3 linked regions of the Sus scrofa genome follow. The protein of the gene in region 3 purifies or fractionates together with the protein of the main gene of each other region. This does not show direct contact. Links are inferred from orthologs where the notes say so. Each region holds a gene or a part of one and is shown on either strand. Other genes may lie near its edges.

Region 1 (3,648 bases), on a different chromosome or scaffold from region 3:
GGGTACAGCAAAGGGATTTAGTTATACACATACATAGTCCTGTTCTTTTCCAGGTCCCCTCTCCTTATGGTTTCTCACAGGATATCACACACGGCTCTCTGCAGGACCTTGCTGTTTATCCAGCCTGTATATAATCGTTTGGTCATGTTGTTTATTTATTTATTTGGCTGCACCAGAGGTATGAGGAAGTTCCCGGGCCAGGCATCAAACCTGAGCCACAGCAGTTGCCAATCCTGGATCCTTAACCCCCTGTGCCAGCAGGGAACTCCAACGTCATGGTTTTCAAATGGCCTTAGAGGTACAAACAGCAGGTATTATTACAAAGTTGGAACCTGCTTCAAATGGAGGTATTTAAAACTAATGTGATGGGTCCTTGAGGCTTTCTTACACCAGCCTCTTGGGAAAAAAAAAAAGTCCCTTCAGTTTCTAGAATGCCAAGAGACTTCGTGTCTGGAAAACCCACCATCTTCCCAACCTTTTCACATTACTCTTTCTGGCCACACCCATACCATGGGGCCAGGGATTGAACCTGCACTATAGCAGTGACCCAAGCCACTACAGTGGCAATGCCAGATCCTTAACCTGCTGAGCCACCAGGGAACTCCTTCCTCATTTTTTTTTTTCCTTCTTATGACCCCACCTACAGCATATGGAAGCTCCCAGGCTAGGGGTTGAGTTAGAGCTACAGCTGCCAGCCAAGGCCACGACCACAGCAACACCAGATCTGAGCCACATCTGTGACCTATGCCGCAGCTTTTGGCAAAGCTAGATCCTTAACCTGTTAAGCAAGGACAAGGATTGAACCTGCATCCTCAGACACTATGTCAGGTTCTTAACCCGCTGAGCTACAAGGGGAATCCCTCCTTCCTCATTTTTGACCCATGCAATCCTACTCTCAAAAAGTGACCTCACAGCTATACCAGTTCGTCTATCAGATGGCAATGACAGTACATGCGGAGGGATGAAAGTCTCAGAAGCAGCTTAAATGCTCATCACTAGGAATCTGGTTAGGAAAGCTGCTGTAGGGAGCTCCCCCTGTGGCACAGTGGATTAAGGATCTGACTGTAGCGGTTCTGGTCCCTGCAGAAGTGCAGGTTCGATCCCTGGCCTTGCTCAGCGGGTTAAGGACCCAGCGTAGCTGTGAGCTGTGATGTAGGCTGCAGACACAGCTTGGATCTGGCATTGCTGTGGCTGTGGCGTAGGCCGGCAGCTGTAGCTCGGACTGGACCCCTAGCCTGGAAACCTCCATACACCATGGGTGTGGCCCTAAAAAGAGGGGGAAAAAAAAAAAAAGAAAAAAAAAAGACAACCAACTGCTCAGCACAGGCAACTAAACTCCATGTTTTCTAATAACCTATAAGGAAAATAACTCTGACGAAGGTGTATACATCTATTTTTGCTGTTGGAGTTCCTGCTGTGGCGCAACAGGATCAGTGGTGTCTGGAGCACCAGGACACAGGTTCGATCCTCGCTGGGCACAGTGGGTTAGGGATCTAGTGTGGGGCAGCCAACAAAAGACAAAAGAAAAACATCCAACTTCGCTGTCTACCTAAAACTAACACGACACTGTAAATCAACTATACTTCAGCAAAAATAAAATAAAAAAAAAAAAGGGCAAAAAAACTTGAGTTTATCTGTGTCAAAAATACACACCTGATAAAAAATAAAAAATTATGCAGTGAATGTAGAAACACAAGTCCACCTGCTCATAGAGGCAGACGGCTCTGGAAGGACGTGTTGGCGGAAGCCCGAGAAGGACAACTGCGAGGCAGACGGGAAGCTTCTCACCCCGGGCCCTCAGGGGTCAACCAAGGAATTCTACCACTCAGTGAAAAAACTACAGACTGTTTTTCTTTTAAAAGAAATTATTACTAAATTTTTTTGGCCTGCAACGTGCAGCAACTTGATGTTGGACCTCAGCTCCCAGACCAGGGATCCAACCTGGGCCACGGCAGTGAAAGCACCAAATCCTAATCCCTGGACCACCAGGTAACTCCCTAAAGATTGCTTCTTGCTCTGCCTTTAAAAAAAAAAAAAAAAAAAAAACCACCAAAAATCGAGGCACTAAGCTGGCGACTTTGACAGCTCATTTCTGAGTAGGCAGAATTCTCGGGCTGTCCGCGGCCCAGAGCCCATGGGGGAGGAAGGCAGGAATTCAAGTTCAGTGGCCCCTGTCGCCTTGCCAAGGACCCCAGGGAAGCGGGGATGGTCCACTCCCTCCCCCCACGCCCGTTCTCTTGCTGGGCTCACCGTGGTCTAACTTGTTGGCTTTGACGATCTTCACCGCATAATCAGAGATACTGGAACACTCGATCTGGGGGCCCAGGAAGAAGGGAGGGTGAGAGACCCCCCCAGTGCCACCCTCAGCCCCCACCCCCTCCCAATCCCTGAGCTCCACAAGGTCCCCTTGGCGTCCCTGGGCCCGCCCAGCCACCCAGGACACTCACCCCGATGACCTTGCGGGCACCGGCCTTGGCAGCGAACATGCAGAGGATCCCTGTGCCCGAGCCCACGTCCAGCACCACCTTGTCCTTGAAAAGGTGCCGGTTGTGAAACATGGAGTTTCGGTAGGTGAGGGTGCGCACCTCATCTTTCAGCATTTCCTGGGAAGGGGGGAGCACAAAGACACCTTGAGGGAGCCTGCATCCCCAGCTGGAAAACAGGGTGCCCCGGCCTCCAACACGCGCACCGTTTGAAGCACTGGAGCTTGGCTCTCGCACTTGCTTCCTCGACTCCCTTGAACAAGTCACTTCCCTTCCACGTGCTTCCATCTCCCTATTTGTAAAATCAGACTGGATGGACTGAACTCCCACCTTTTTTTTTTTTTTTTTTTGCTTTTTAGGGCCGTACCCGAGGCACACAGAGGTTCCCAGGCTAGGGGTCGAATGAGTGCTACAGCTGCCAATCTATGCCACAGCCACGGGGGATCGGAGCTGCGTCTGCGACCTACACCACAGCTCACAACGACGCCGGATTCCCGACCCAATGATCGAGGCCAGGGATCGAACCCGCATCCTCATGTATACTAGTCACATTCATTTCCACTGCACCACGATGGGAACTCCTGAACTCCCATCTTTACAGATGGACCACTGCCCTGAGTCCCTGCTGTCCTTGGCTTTAAAAAGTCCTCAGTAACTTAATGCCACTGAGCTGTATACGTGAAAATGGCAAACTGTTATGCACTTTTTTTTAATCACAATAAGAAAAGAAAAACACATCCCGGTCCTAGGTGATTTCTGGGACCTCAGCCTCCACCGCAGGCAAAAAAACGTCTAGAGGCAGCCCGCACTCTGAGTCCGAGGAGCTGGCGGACAGTCCCACCACCGGCCACTAGGGGGCGGCAGAGACCAGCAGGCCCCGACCTCGGGCTGAAGTCCCCAGCGCACATGCGCACTCCCACCCGCGCCCCTGAGCTGGCCCGGCTGGCGCAGTGCCAGCCTCGCCTCAGTCTCCAAGGCAACAGCTGGGAGCGTCGACCCCCAGGGTGTGAGTAGCCAGCGGAGGGACTGCCCGCTCCCTTCCCCGGCAGCACGCATGCCTTAGAAATTAAGTCCCCCCCCCCCCACCAAACACGAACCCCGTGAAGATTCAGGGGCCCTAGGAGCGGTCAGTCAGTCTGGACTCACCTCGTGGATGCCGAAGTGA
Region 2 (3,246 bases), on a different chromosome or scaffold from region 3:
AAGCTCGAGCTATGCTGCAGCTTGCAGCAATGCCAGGTCCTTAACCCACAGCTCAAGCCAGGGGTTAGGACGGCATTCTCATGGATACTAGTCAGTTCTTAACCTATTGAGCCACAACGGGAACTCCCAAGGAGAAATACTCCTAAAAAGTAAACCAATTTTGACTATCCTTTGGTTCATCTTCCTAGTTAAACAAGTGCCAATCTAGTCTACTTTCAGGTATGGCAGAACAGACTACAATATTTAACACTGGAAAAGAATATAAAAATGGGAGTTCCTGTCGTGGCGCAGTGGTTAACGAATCCGACTAGGAACCACGAGGTTGCGGGTTTGATCCCTGCCCTCACTCAGTGGGTTAAGGATCCAGCGTTGCCATGAGTTGTGGTGTAGGTCGTAGACACGGCTCAGATCCCATGTTGCTGTGGCTCTGGCGTAGGCTGGCAGCTACAGCTCCGATTAGACCCCTAGTCTGGGAACCTCCATAGGCCGCAGGAGCGGCCCAAGAAATGGCAAAAAGACAAAAAAAAAAAAAAAAAAAAAGAATATAAAAATGAACAAAATGTTTCAGAATTACAGTTTGGGTGGAACAGCCTTATTTAGACCTAAATGTTCACAAACCAAGATCACTTTGGATTGTGAACATTAAGGAATCCATCAGCTTGCATGCTATTTTCCAACTTAAAGTAGTAATAATGCCTTCTTTATGTTAACTGCTACTTGAAAATGAGACAATTAAATGTTAAACACATGAATAAAATCCCTAACTGCTGGCATAAATATTTTAGCCTAGTGTATGGCCAATGAATGCAGGTTTACATAAGAATGGAAGCTGTGGATCTGAGCAGGGAAATTAGCCGGGGTCTTTTTTTTTTAACTGATACCAAATGGTCTTCCTTATTAGGAAGGAGGTCCTCCTCATTAAAGTAACCAAGGATGCAAATGTCCCTCTCTCTCTAAGCAAATGAGAGAAGCCCACATCTTCAAAAAGCTGTTATCTTACTCTTAAAAAAACTTATTAAAACAAAAAAAACCAAAAACCTTACAGATCAGAGAAACGTGAAGAAATTTATACTCTGGCTTCAAATATATGAAATACAAACCCTCCATGGGAGTCCCTGTCGTGGCTCAGTGGTAATGACCCTGACTGGTAACCATGAGGTTGTGGGTTCAAGCCCTGGCCCGGCCTCAATCAGGGGGCTAAGGATCCGGCATTGTCATAGGCTGTGTGTAGGTCGCAGACTCGGCTCGGATCCTACATTGCTGTGGCTGTGGTGTAGGCCAGCAGCTGTAGTTCAGATTCGACCCCTAGCCTGGGAACCTCCATAGGCCACGAGTGTGGCCCTAAAAAAAAAATAATAAATAAACCACACAAATCCTCCGTGTATGAATTTTATAATTAATGCATGGTCAGTTTGTTCTGGGCTTAACAAAGTACACTTTTATTTATTCCATTCTCTATTGGTTTAAAAATAATTAAAAACTGTCCTATGTCACTGCCAGTTAAACTTAATAAAACCAACGAGTCCACAACAATTAGCAAACCAAAAACGAACTCAATTCCTTGTCTGAAGAGTAACAGGCCAGGTGCACAATCTTTAATTAAGGAGAGGAGCAGGATGTGCTGTCATAGGAAATGTCATGGCAATAGGAGACCTTGCCAGAAATAATTCTGGAAATCTTACCTCTCTTGATTCAAATATCAAAGTCATACGGACAAAATGGTCCTAAACCATGTATTTGATTCTAAAAGTTTTCAGAGGCCAAAGTTCACATTAGAGATAAAAACAAATAGCTAGTTTACAGTTTTCCAGACAATTAAAAACTATAGGTTACCATTCATTTCTCTTTTATACTATCTGAACTACTGTAGCTGGAATTATCTATAATAAATAATTATTATAATATATATAGTTGTACATTAACACATAATTAGTCTTTGTATTGCTTTAATAAGGCAAATATGAGAAATCACTTTAGCATGCTAGATGTAGTTTCTGGTTTACATTTAATAGCACAAAGATGAAGGAGTTCCTGCTGCGGTGCAGTGGGTTAAGGAGCTAGCATTGCTGCAGCTGCAGTGGAGGTAGCAGCTGTAGCTCAGATTCAATCCCTGACCTGGGAACTTCCAGATGCCACGAGTGTGGCCCAAAAAAAAAGAAAAAAAAAAAAAAAGTCATGAAAACAGAATAATATTGAGAGTTCCCGGGATGCAGCAGAAACGAATCCAACCAGGAACCATGAGGTTTCAGGTTTGATCCCTGGCCTCGCTCAGTGGGTTAAGGATCAGGCATTGCCACGCTGTGGTGTAGGTCACATAAGCAGCACAGATCTGGCGTGGCTGTGGCATAGGCTGGCAGCAACAGCTCCTATTAGATCCCCTAGCCTGGGAACTTCCACATGCTGCGGGTGTAGCCCTAAGAAGATAAAAGACAACAACAACAAAAAAGAATATTAGTTTTAATCCAAAGCAAACTGCTTTAGGATAAAGACAATAATGGAAAAAAAACTAAGAAAAGGATTATTCAGTTTAAGGAACCAAGTTCTCAGTGCAAAGTTGATTCATACTGTTTCAATTAGTAAAGTTCTTAAGATTTTAGCGTCCAGCTCTATGTTGCCAACTTAATTTATGAGCCACATGTATAAGAAATATTAATTACTATCTTCTAGGCAAAATGCAAAGATCGGTGTCAGGCACAGTGAGCTCCCAATATCATAAGTCACCTCAAACAGACGAACAAATAATAGAAAAATACAATTTAAGAGGTAGAGTGGCTAATACTTACACAAGGCAGCTGAGGTCTGCCAGATCATCGATAAAATCAAACAACTGACTGATATCATATGTGATAGAGGGGCTGTTGGGATTCATTCTCTTCAGATGTTCTTCATACATTTTACAAACACCTAAGAGAGAAGGGAAAAAAAAATCAAGACCTTATAATTATATGAACTTTAGATATGAGTGGTGTTATATGGTTATATAGTATTTCCTCTTATAAACTTGGGCTGGGAAAACAACAGTTAAGTTGACCACTTGTGTTGTAGTTGTTGCCACTAGCAAATTTTTAAATAACACCACACTTGAGAATAATGGATGACAAATGAATACTTTCCCATTCTACTTTCAAATTTTGACACAATGTGGAGTTCCTGTTGTGGCTCAGTGGTAATGAACCTGACTGGTATCCATGAAGATGTGGGTTCAATGGCTGGCTTTATTCACTGGGTTAAGGCCAGCATTGCCAT
Region 3 (4,302 bases):
AAGGTCGAACAAAATGGATGTTTAAATAAAAGCTTTATTACAAAACATTTACTGGCATTTTCATGGCTTGCTAGACCAGGAGCTCCAGATCCCACGAACTTTAAGTAAAGCGGTACACTTAGATCAAGGCTGATGTGGGTTAAAGACTCCTCCGCTTCCACAAACTTGCAAGAATCAGAAACTCAGAAATGCAGCTAAGTGTAGCACATTCAATCAAAAGTGATAACAAGGGCTCAGGTAACGGCTTTTAGAGATAGAAAGCATGAAAAACACGCAATAAGCAGATATGATGACAAGAGACAGAAGATGTAGTTTCAAAGACAGACAAAGCAAGCCAAATCCTTTGGGACCTGAGGGTGCATTTTAAGGGCGTATATAAGGACGGACTAGAGCACCTTCAAAGCCTATGGAAATGATACATCCACATAAATTACAGGAGTATATCACATTTTTTTCATAAGTGGTTCACGCAGTAACATGTGAATATGAAGAATTAGTGTACCACGTGCCCTAAGAAGCACATATGCTTCAGAAAAGGCAGACAAACACAAGTAAATCTTATGTTTAACAGCAACTTAATAAAATCATTTGTCAAAGGCACTCAAGGAACAAGGCCCTCAGAGACAGAAAGTGCCTTTAAATACCTTAACTTTTCTTAGTTTCAAATGATTACTTTTTCTGACTCCAAGTTGATTACTTCTGAAAAGTTAAGATTAGTTCAATCATTGAGGCTCTTGTGAAGACACTCTTCTATTATTCCTGTCGAATTTAACGGAATGAAAGAGAAGAACACTTAAGCGCAAAAGAATCCAAAACAAAAACAAACTAAAAGCAGAATGGAAAGAAAGTGAAATGGAGCAAAGCAAGTGCCTCTTACAAGGTCCAAGAATGACATTCAAGGGCCTTTGGACATATTCATAGCTTGCTACCTGCCTCTTACAGGCCAGACACAACACTGCTGGCCTTGGACTGGGCAGCAAGCCTACTGCAGCCGGGGTTCCATGCTACCAAGCTGCACCACCCCTGTATCAATGTAAAAAAAATGTGAAGAAAATGGAGGGTGTGAGGAGTCTTTTAAAATACATCCCACCAGAGAAATATTTCAGACAGCTTAACATAAAAATCTACTGATAAGTGGTTTTGAAACAACCGCCCAATTTGTTTTGTGTACCACATAAGATGCTACTAAGAACAGAGGTCTGTAGCCTTCTGTTGGTATTTAGCTTAAAACTGGTTTTTGTGCATTGGACCCAGGGCCAACTTAAGTAATGTTTTCTTATGAACGAGCTGAAGTTGCTGTTGGCTGCCTCACCGCTCATTTAGAGACATCTTGGTGGTGCTTTTTAGCACAACTTTCGGTGCTGACTGTGCAGCCATCTTCAAATCCCGAGAATCTACAAAAGACAATGGGCAAAGTGAGCAAATCAGAATGATGACTACCTCATTTCAACAGGGCCAAAGGCCCAAACCAAAAATGAATGAATAGGCCTGTCTCAATGACTACTGAAGATCACACCAAAACTCATTTCAGGTGCTTACATTTAGAAGCTAAGTTATCTGGAATTAATAAACTTCAAGGCCACATGACAGAAAATACCTGCCCAAGCCTCCAAAAATGGCAGACCTAGACCTAGCCAAAGAAAGTGTTTGGCTTTTCATCTAGAGCGGTCCTTCTCTACCTTGGCTGCAAGGAGCTTTAAAAAACAACAACAGGAGTTCCCTTCATGGCTCCGCGGTCACAAACCCAACTAGCATCCTTGAGGATGTGGGTTGGACCCCTAGCCTCGCACAGTGGGTTAAGGATCTAGCGTTGCTGTGGGTTGTGGTCTAGGCCGGCAGCTACAGCTCCAATTCGACCTCTAGCCTTGGAACTTCTATATATGCGGCCCTAAAAAGACAAAACAACAACAAAGACAGACACAAAATACAGAAGCTTCGGCCCAAACCATTTAAAGCACAATCTCTGCTGGTGAGGTCTGGGGATCAGCAATTAGAAGGTGGTGCGGGGAGGGGGGGTGGTGTCTAACTTGCTGCTTCTCATGTGCAGCCAAAATTCAGAACCACTGCTCTAGAGAGATGATACAGGTTTACCAGTTTACAAATTGGCTTTCAACTCCAAAGTCTTGCAGGAACCTTAGCAAGGGACTGGGGACGTGGGGGAGGGATGGAGTAGGAAAGGTTTCCTAAATGGGCGTTCACCTGGGAGTTCGATCCCAGAGAGCACGCCACAAAATTTAACTCTACAGCTGCCAGTGCATTCTGACGTTCCCTAAAGCCGTGTAGTCCTCCTCTGAACTCCCATCTCAAAGCCCCGTCCGGGACCGCCAACGTTGCTCAACCCGCCCAGCAATGTTCCTTTCTATTCCTACCAAATCCCAACCTCCAGCAGCGAGTTTCCAGCTCGGGGCCTCCCCCGCCTCCCTCTCAGGGGCTCCGCCCCCTCCCGGGGCCTCCACTCCCCGACACCCAATCTGCTTCCACATCCCACCAGCTCCCACTCCACGACCGCCGGGCCCGGGCGCTCCCCAAGACTTTTGCCCTCCTTCTCACCACAGAAACGTACCGAAGGAAACGGACGCCAGTGCTCCTCCCGGGGTTGCCACCACGGCTGCGACAGGCTGGCCGGGGGCCGGCCGAACCTGAGTTGACGGTGGAGGGGCTCGGATTAACTTGGTGGGCGGTTGGTTGTATGTGTTAAACGGTAGAATGCTAGGTTAGTTCGTTGATGCTGGGTGGCTGTCCGGTCGGCCGGTTCGCCTGCTCGCCCGGCGTGCCCTTTCCTGCCTTTCACCACAGCCGCTGCCGCCAACTCCCGCTCGCTCTCCAAAACAAAATGGCCGCCACGCCCAGTGCGGAATGGGACCGGCTAAAATGGCGTCGACGCCATTACGTCAGACGTCAGGTCTGCGCACAGCGCAGGAGGCGGGAAAATTTGTGTTACGCCTGCGCGGGGGATGAGGCGGAGCTCCAGGGAAAAGGCGGGGCTTTAGGCTGTATTACACTCCGAGCCCCACCCGGGAAGGGGCGTGGCCAATATATTCTCTCTTGGGTTTTAAGGCGGCTGCAAGTTGGTGATTTGGGACGTTCAAGGCGGATTTGGTCCTCTTAAGAAAAGAAGTTCGTATTTCATTGCGGGTCCCTCCACCCCTAAAGCTAAGGCAGACCGACTAAAATTCTTTACGCGACATGACTCGGTCTTTCTTCCGAGAGCCACCGGGCCGGTGTAATTTGCGCTGGCTCCCCCCTCAGCATACGCCCCTTTTAGAGTTGTGGGTTGCCATAAACGCACCTGGGGACCAGTGCAGGGAGCACACCTCACTGGATCCTGCACCACGCACCACTGCCCGTCCATATTTTTCTCTTCACTTCCCTTCCCAATTTGGCCTGAAGATTGTTAAATTCTTATTTGGGGGAAGCTTTGCGTCCCCGCAACCTATTCCAATGTCTTCTCCCTCCATCTAGCTTCCATGTGGATTTTGATGCAGACCTATATGGCATTTTCCTTATACCTGGGCACACAATAAAAGGCTCAGATGGGAGTTCCCGTCGTGGCGCAGTGGTTAAGGAACCCAACTAGGAACCATGAGGTTGCGGGTTCGATCCCTAGCCTTGCTCAGTGGGTTAACGATCCGGCATTGCTGTGAGCTGTGGTGTAGGTTGCAGACGCGGCTCGGATCCAGCGTTGCTGTGGCTCTGGCGTAGGCCAGGTGGCTGCACCTCTGATTCAACCCCTAGCCTGGGAACCTCCATATGCCGTGGGAGCGGCCCAAGAAATAGCAAAAAAAGACCAAAAAAAAAAAAAGGCTCAGATGTTGGAAGAATGAGTGAATGAACATGTCCTCAGTTCCACCTCCACTCTCTTAAAGGCGCATGAGATCCTTTCATTTTCCTTCCTAGCATTTATACGTGTATGTTTAATGGTTTGGCACCCTTTACTGGACTTCACCTATGTGACAGTGAGGGTTGTGTTTGTTTTGCTCACTGCTGTATTCCCAGTTTCCACACAATGTCTAGCACGGGGTAGGTCTTCAGCACATATTCTTCGAAAGTTGAAGGGCAATTTTTCTGGCTTCAAAGCTGAAAAGCTGATGTCTCTGCCACTTCCAGCTGGAACCTTGAGCCTCTACCTTTCTGGGCCTTGAGCATTCCTTAAGTAGGAAGATGTAATGGTTCCTTGATCTTTCTCCAAAATAAGATCCCTCCCCAAATAAAGCAATTTGGGAGTGAACAGCCTTCACTTCCCCACCCATTTCCAAACCCTGAAGGACCAGAGACAGCAGCTGGTGGCTGGTGAGAGAGGAG

What was found. The genes of interacting proteins can lie anywhere in the genome.
Region 1: the proteins of CHTOP (region 3) and PRMT1 purify together in Homo sapiens (affinity purification with western blotting; 7 studies listed by BioGRID and IntAct, with this or other methods). This does not show direct contact. The link is inferred for Sus scrofa from reciprocal best matches to the Homo sapiens genes CHTOP and PRMT1.
Region 2: the proteins of CHTOP (region 3) and ERH purify together in Homo sapiens (affinity purification with mass spectrometry; 3 studies listed by BioGRID and IntAct, with this or other methods). This does not show direct contact. The link is inferred for Sus scrofa from reciprocal best matches to the Homo sapiens genes CHTOP and ERH.

The regions. Positions count from the first base shown.
Region 1 is NC_010448.4:54,721,849-54,725,496, reverse strand, and holds part of PRMT1 (protein arginine N-methyltransferase 1), read right to left. Parts: coding exon 3,630-3,648; intron 2,604-3,629; coding exon 2,448-2,603; intron 2,315-2,447; coding exon 2,251-2,314; intron 1-2,250. UniProt on the Homo sapiens protein: Arginine methyltransferase that methylates (mono and asymmetric dimethylation) the guanidino nitrogens of arginyl residues present in proteins such as ESR1, histone H2, H3 and H4, FMR1, ILF3, HNRNPA1, HNRNPD, NFATC2IP, SUPT5H, TAF15, EWS, HABP4, SERBP1, RBM15, FOXO1, CHTOP, MAP3K5/ASK1, MICU1 and NPRL2.
Region 2 is NC_010449.5:93,070,756-93,074,001, forward strand, and holds part of ERH (enhancer of rudimentary homolog), read right to left. Parts: intron 2,905-3,246; coding exon 2,784-2,904; intron 1-2,783. UniProt on the Homo sapiens protein: May have a role in the cell cycle.
Region 3 is NC_010446.5:96,002,742-96,007,043, forward strand, and holds the start of CHTOP (chromatin target of PRMT1 protein), read right to left. Parts: upstream 2,874-4,302; 5' UTR 2,564-2,873; intron 1,395-2,563; 5' UTR 1,378-1,394; coding exon 1,313-1,377; intron 1-1,312. UniProt on the Homo sapiens protein: Plays an important role in the ligand-dependent activation of estrogen receptor target genes. May play a role in the silencing of fetal globin genes.